Arabidopsis thaliana: one gene and its partner. The protein of the gene in region 1 interacts with the protein of each later gene in a pairwise test. Each region holds a gene or a part of one and is shown on either strand. Other genes may lie near its edges.

Evidence for each region. The genes of interacting proteins can lie anywhere in the genome.
Region 2: the proteins of SDG20 (region 1) and NAC020 interact in a two-hybrid assay, tested with the Arabidopsis thaliana proteins (one large-scale study listed by BioGRID).

What each region holds. Positions count from the first base shown.
Region 1 is NC_003074.8:937,900-941,656, reverse strand, and holds the start of SDG20 (SET domain protein 20), read right to left. Parts: upstream 1,758-3,757; 5' UTR 1,682-1,757; coding exon 1,018-1,681; exon of another isoform or gene 547-1,017; coding exon 146-546; 3' UTR 1-145. Other genes in the region: BPM4 (BTB-POZ and MATH domain 4), read left to right, coding at 1,850-2,304, 3,428-3,757. UniProt on the Arabidopsis thaliana protein: Histone methyltransferase.
Region 2 is NC_003070.9:20,278,971-20,282,727, reverse strand, and holds NAC020 (NAC domain containing protein 20), read left to right. Parts: upstream 1-1,775; 5' UTR 1,776-1,838; coding exon 1,839-1,995; intron 1,996-2,147; coding exon 2,148-2,416; intron 2,417-2,533; coding exon 2,534-3,013; 3' UTR 3,014-3,221; downstream 3,222-3,757.

The DNA of each region.
Region 1 (3,757 bases):
TCAGTAGAGCCGCTATTAATAAGAAAGTGTAACTTCCGAATGACAATGACGGTGCTTGGTTGTGTTTGCTACAAACATAGAACTCGAATTTTTCAAATAATAAGAGTGTTGGACATTAGTATAGCGAGACAAGATGATGATGAATTCAGGTATTCTCACAAGGCAACGTTCCCAAACAGCAGGAACTACCACAAGAGCAGTTTAGCTTGTCGTCTCTGTTCTCTCCGGCCACACTTACGTCTCCATAACTGAAACTTAACTCCTCCTCTGCGATTATGTCCTTTGCTGCAAAGAAACAGAGCCGAGGAAGCAACGCTCCTGAGCTTCTCAACAGAACAGTGGAGAGATTTCCACCGTCACAAGAATGGTTGATGAATCTAGCAACGTTCCCAATTCTTGTGGCGTCGATGTTTATCCTTAAACAAGCTTGTCCTGAAGGGAGGTGTTCGCGTACGACCAAAAGAGCTGAAGCGAAGGATTGTGTTGATCTGAGTTTGTCGTAAATGTTTTGACGTCTACGTGCTTCATCTGTTGTCAATAGCTCACCTATAAGAAGAGACGACAAAATCAAGTTTATGACTTTTGCATAAACCAAGTCATTAAGGCAGATCACAAAGAAAAAACACATTCAAGAAAGAAGAAAGATTTGTCATTATCTCTAATCTCCAAATCCAGCATTGTGATACTACCTCTAAACGATTGAAACAAGAACATTTCGAAAGCTCAGATCTTTCACTGATGGAGATCACTCTTAATACCATGCTAGAATCTCATCTCAACGCATCGAGCTAAATCATATGCAGTCCAAGTGTAAAAGGCTAATAACTAATGCTAATATTCCTCAAATCATGTAATCTTAAGCTTGATTTTCAAGTTCCAATTATCAATCTTCCAAAATTAGTGACCTACTGCAATAAAACGAATCACTATACTATTAGGAAACCAAAAGTTGGTTAACGTTACCTAATGCTAATATTCCTCTAATCATGTAATATGAAATCGAAATGTAATTGTAACCTGCATATTCACAGATGAATTGGCCTTGCTTGATAAGCTGGTCAGCGTACAAGCACCAACCTTTCTTCTCATCTCTCACAATCTTCAAACTAACCGAAACCCCCTTCTGCGTAACCCGGTTCGAACAATCGGACCCGCATCCACAACCCGACCCACATTCGTTAGCTATCTCTTCCATCCCCGCGAAAGCTAAACACTTGCAGTATCCTTCCTCACACCTCTCGCATTCGCATCCTGACTCGTCCACTAAACTCACCCCAAAACGTCCGCTTTCACTCACTGAGTCAAAACAAGGTCTAGACTCCGATCCACATTCATTAGCAGCAGCTCCCCACCATTGTCGCGGCGGAGGAGGAGATGAAGCGGGGATCTGAAAAGGTGTGTAGATGAAGTACGCGTATCGTTGAGAATCGATGGAGTTGTGAAACGGGATTGAGATGTTTTCCAAGGATCGTGCAGCGTCGAGAGATCGGTGAATGGTTAGAGATTTCGAGATTAGGGATAAGGTTTTGCAGGTTTGAGCAACAACGGCGAGTTCTCGAGGGTTTAGCCATGGGAGAATCAAATTCGCACATCGGAGAAATCGATCGGCGGCCGGAATAATGTCGGAAGCTTCTCCAAGACAACGCGTCTTCGGTGGTGGTGACTCTCGCAGTCGCTGCATATTTTTTCTCAGCCAGCGATATACAAACGACGTCGTTGCGTTTAATTCTATTTATATCCTTAAATTCTATTTTAATTTCACTTCAGTAAGAATTTTTTAAAGAAAAATGGCGAGTTTTTTTGTGTTAATCATAACTATAGATTTACTACCGTCGCTTTGGTCTGTGTAATGAAATCTGTCATTTTCACAGAGGAAAAAAACTTACAAAGACAAAATCCATTGCAAAAGAGCGAGCAACAACGACGAAATTTCGAAATGCCATCGCCACCGACGACGACTTCTCTCTCGGTGACACAGACCATAAACGGATCACACAGCTTCACAATCAAAGGCTATTCTTTGGCTAAAGGAATCGGGATCGGAAAACACATCGCCAGCGATACTTTCACCGTCGGGGGTTATCAATGGGCTATCTATTTCTATCCTGATGGCAAGAATCCTGAGGATAATTCGGCTTATGTCTCCGTTTTCATTGCTTTAGCTAGCGATGGTACCGATGTTAGGGCTCTTTTTGAGCTTTCTTTGCTTGATCAGAGTGGTAAAGGGAAGCATAAGGTTCATAGCCACTTCGATCGTGCTCTTGAGAGCGGTCCTTATACTCTCAAGTATCGTGGCAGCATGTGGTTCGTTTCTTCGATTTCTTCTTTTCAATTTTTTTATTTTTCTCTTAGCCATTTTGCTAGGGTTTGGTGAAGAATTGGCTTAGGGTCTCTGATTTCTAGTGAAAGCTCATTACTTTTAGAACAAATTTTGCTCCTTTGTTGGGGTTTATATGAGGTTACGGATGTTATTAGTGGTCAAGACTCAAGAGTGTAGATTGTTGAAGGCAAAATGAGATTGAGCTCACAACATTAAAAAATATAAAAGAGATTGAGAAATTCAGAGGAAATAAAGATACATTAGCTGTGGATTTCTCAATCTGTTTGTTTCTTTTTTGTTGTGTGACCTGTATATGAAATTGAAAGATGGGTGGTGAGAGCGATAAACAATGTTCTTTATTTTTTATGCTGGAGGCTGCTTGGCTTTATTTTTGTGGTCTGCTTGAAACTGTGAGTCTGTGACGTATGGAAAGAGAGAGGGCTTTGAGTAGAAGAAGCAAGTTTCTAGAATATGAAGGTTCTATTACCTGTTTTGGACATTCTGTAACTAGTTTACCTGAACTTTTCATAAACAGAATTTGGTTCCTGCTGCTTCACCAGCATGTAGCGTTGGTTCTGTAGTTAAGGAAACTTGATTGGGAACGAGAGAGGGTTTGGACTGATGATATTTAGGATTTTCTTGAAAAGTATTGTGTTTTCACATGTTGGCATGATTTCAAAGACCTGTCATTGTGATGTTTTACTATATAGGCACCAATTCTTTCAATATGGTAGGCTAATTCTGAAGTAGGAACATTGCTTACTGTTTACCTGCATATAGCAGCACAAACCTTGCTTTTATGAAACTGTTCATGTTAGGTTTGAAACTTCTTGTATGAGTTAAGCAACAGAGTATTGTCTTTTGCTCTCAATATTCGTACATTTGGTTTTCCTGCTTTTTTAAACATCTGTTGTTAAGTCTGCTTGTATGAATTAATCAACCATTGTCTCTGGTTTCTTCTTCTTGAAGGTGATGCCTTTGGCTTTGATTTGTCTCTCTATTAGAAAGATCTCATTGCTTATTAATGCAGAGGAATAATTCCCTCTTAGAGTTTTGTACTTCCCTGTTTCGCTCAACGGATCCTTATTCAATTTTATATGCTTACAGGGGCTACAAGCGCTTTTTTCGAAGACTTATGCTGGAAACATCTGATTTTCTGAAGGATGATTGTCTGAAAATTAATTGCACCGTGGGAGTTGTGGTCTCAGAAATAGATTGCCCACGGTTACATTCTATTCATGTCCCTGCATCTGATATTGGATCTCATTTCGGGATGCTTCTAGAGAACGAGGACGGTTCAGATATAACTTTTAACGTCTCTGGTGAAAAGTTCCGTGCTCACAGGTTAGTATTGGCTGCTCGATCTCCTGTCTTTGAAAGCGAGTTCCTCGATGTTACGGGAGAAGAAGATCGTGATATCGAAGTTACTGACATGGA
Region 2 (3,757 bases), on another chromosome or scaffold:
ATATCGTATGTATGTATTATCATGATTCCCCCATAGAGTCCCGCCTTTGCCAATTTCGTCATGGATATATATACACGTAAAGTTTGTTTACTATTCATTTAATAATGTCACTATTGTGTTACGTCTAATTAATTAATGTTTATTTGATACTCTAGATATCAATACTATAAGCTTGAGAAAGAGTATAGGTACTTGATACATGTGAAATGGAAATATAAAAGGGTTGATAAGATAAGATGCTTAGATCTTAATTAGCTTTATTCGCTTCCCCTTAGATCGTATCAAAGGTTGCATGTCTTTAGTTAGGCTTGCATGTTAGCTTCCTCGTTGTCTTTATTAATTAATTAATCCACATTCCTTTTGCATTTGTGATACAACATTTATATATATAGTCACATTTTTTTTTATATATAGTACTCACATTAATTACTTGTTCATATAGACTTAGACTCGATTTGTGACCAAGAAAAACAAAGTGGTGAAACAATTGGGGCATGTCTTGTTGTTGTCGTTTGATAAGTTAAACTGTTAAAGCATCTTTCGCCAAAATATTTTTCAGTTGCTATCTTTTGTTTTTTGTATCTGTCACTCTCTCTCTCTCTCCCTAAGTTATTGGTGACCACATCTTAAAGCTTCCCTAAAATGTTATTGTTATTTCTTTCTCACGGAAAAGGGAGAGTTACTTACTTGAAGTTTGAATATTATACTTTATAAGAATGGAGGAGTTTTATATATGTCGCAACTTGTGGACTCCCTCAGTATTTGATCATTTCCTTACATAAAACGTTTGATTACTTCATTCTGTTAAATTCCGTTTACAATGTTCTTCGTCTACATGTGAATTATATATATTAGCAAACGAAAAAAAACCATGTAAACGAGACATCTAATATATGACATGAGTTATATATATCATACATGTGAAGAATGAAGATGTCCTTATTTTTTTAATTTATCTTTTGGATCGAGGCCGAGAGTCGAGGCAAAAGAGATTTGACCGGAAGTTAGTAAAATTGAAGGGCCGAGAGAAAGAGAGTCAAAGATTGTGTGGGAGTAATGATGTAAAAGAGCCGAACAACGTCTTTAATCCATATGTAAAAGGGACTAAAGAAGCCTCCCAACACTAAAGCCAAAGTCGACTTGGATGCCTCCTGCTTTTTTATTCTCCCATTTTTTAATCATATATATGAATTCAATTTATAAGTATTCTTATTATAAGACCATAACAACATAAAACAATATAACAAAACTGTCAAACCGAAAAAAAAAGAAAAGAAAAAGCCGAGTGTTTAGGTGTCGCCAGGTAGATTTGGTTTGAGAAGAAGAGATGGGTCCCCTAAACTGTTGAATCATAAAAAGCCTTCATTTTTGGTTTAAAGCAAACGTTATAAAAATCCCTCTATAATGATTCATGACCCACGTTAAGGTCTAACCGGAATTATAAGCATATACATTCATATATGTGAGTATTTGTGAGATGGGGCCTTCTTGCTAAAGCTTTTTCCGTCTCTCCTCCTACTAGGGTTTTCACACTTGCAGAATCTTCAAAAGCCAGAGTTAGGTTTTTATTTAAAATATATATATTGGTTTTAGAAAATATGTGTGATGAGTATCATGACAAACACTGACCAAAAAGCAACCCAAAGTAAGACAAAATATTAATCTCAGAAGATGCCAATCCCATGGCATACTTTTACACATTCCCATATCATATCTTCTTCAGAGTCTCATCTTTTTAATTATATATAGTCACCTTCATATGTCGTACGAACATCCTAATCACTTTAATTAATCTCTCTCATCTCTTTCTCTCTCGTTTTCTAACGCATACACTTTGAATGGCGCCCATGAGTTTGCCTCCAGGATTCAGGTTTCATCCCACTGATGAAGAACTGGTGGCTTACTATCTTGATAGGAAGGTCAACGGCCAAGCCATTGAGCTCGAGATCATCCCAGAAGTTGATCTTTATAAATGCGAGCCATGGGACTTGCCTGGTACGATCCAACTCTTTATATCTCTCTCTATATATGGTTCAGCTTGTTTATGTCAATCTGACGTTATAGATTACATATATTGGTCATGATGCATTCATACATATGATATTGGAGGTTTTATGAGTTATTTATTTGGATAATACGCGGAACAGAAAAGTCATTTTTGCCGGGAAACGACATGGAATGGTACTTTTACAGCACAAGGGATAAGAAGTATCCAAATGGCTCTAGGACGAACCGTGCGACCCGAGCGGGTTACTGGAAGGCCACGGGGAAAGATCGTACAGTAGAATCAAAGAAGATGAAGATGGGAATGAAGAAGACACTGGTTTATTATAGAGGAAGGGCTCCTCATGGCCTTCGTACTAATTGGGTCATGCATGAATATCGTCTCACGCACGCTCCTTCCTCCTCCTTGAAGGTAAATTATTTCCCATGCACAAACTTCTATTAACATATATATCTATATTCATTTCTGATCTAATTTTTTTTTTTTTGATAAACCATATCGACTAATATTAATGTTGATCTAAAACAGGAGTCGTATGCATTGTGCCGAGTGTTTAAGAAGAACATACAAATTCCAAAGAGAAAAGGGGAAGAAGAAGAAGCAGAAGAAGAGAGCACTAGTGTAGGAAAAGAAGAGGAAGAAGAAAAGGAGAAGAAGTGGAGAAAATGTGATGGTAATTATATTGAAGACGAGAGCTTGAAAAGAGCATCCGCGGAGACATCTTCATCAGAGCTAACTCAAGGGGTCCTTTTAGACGAAGCAAACAGCTCATCCATATTTGCTCTTCATTTCTCATCTTCTCTTCTGGACGATCATGATCATCTTTTCTCAAACTATTCTCATCAGCTTCCATATCATCCTCCTCTTCAACTCCAAGATTTCCCTCAACTTTCTATGAACGAAGCAGAGATTATGTCAATCCAACAAGACTTTCAATGCAGAGACTCTATGAACGGGACACTTGACGAAATCTTCTCTTCTTCCGCCACTTTCCCCGCTTCCCTTTGATAAATCCATATCTCATACTATCATCTAGTACTTCTTTTCTCAACTTATTTAAATATACTCGGGTACTTCATATATAGTATTTTTTTTTTTACTTGTTTTTTGCTTATGAATTAGTTTGACTGGTGAAAAAGGGTGAGGAGGTTTGTGGAATTATTTTTTCTACCACAAAAAGAAATTGCATTATTTTATTTTAATTTTTATCATTAGGTGTGTATGGTACTTAATCACTAGAGTTGGTTGGTTTTGTCATATATAGGAGGGAAAACGGAAGTAAAAATTGTGTAATCGATCGACATTACTTATTGGTTTGCATACTTGTAGACTTAAAATCTGGCATGGGCGTCATGGCAACGCAAATTTGGAAAACTTTTCGGATTATATATGTCCGACTGCGGATCAATATCTTATTTAACTATATATATGTGTTATGAATATGAAACAAAAGTTTTAAAATCTGAATGAATAAAGAAAAAATTCTCAAGAAAAGAAGCTGAAAACAAAGAAGAGAGAAAAATCGAGACAAATTTCACTACAAACAAAATAAATTCTTTATTAAAAAAGATGAGAATTACAAGACAATGATTAAAGACATCTCGAGTTTATGATACTATATATAGTTTGTGATTGATTTGGAAGATACAAACAACATTATCATGAAGAAATCTCTAGTTTATGATACTTTTAATTTAATTTAACCAAGTGATAGTGGTCTAATAGTTTTCACTTGAAGACGAATCATCGTTT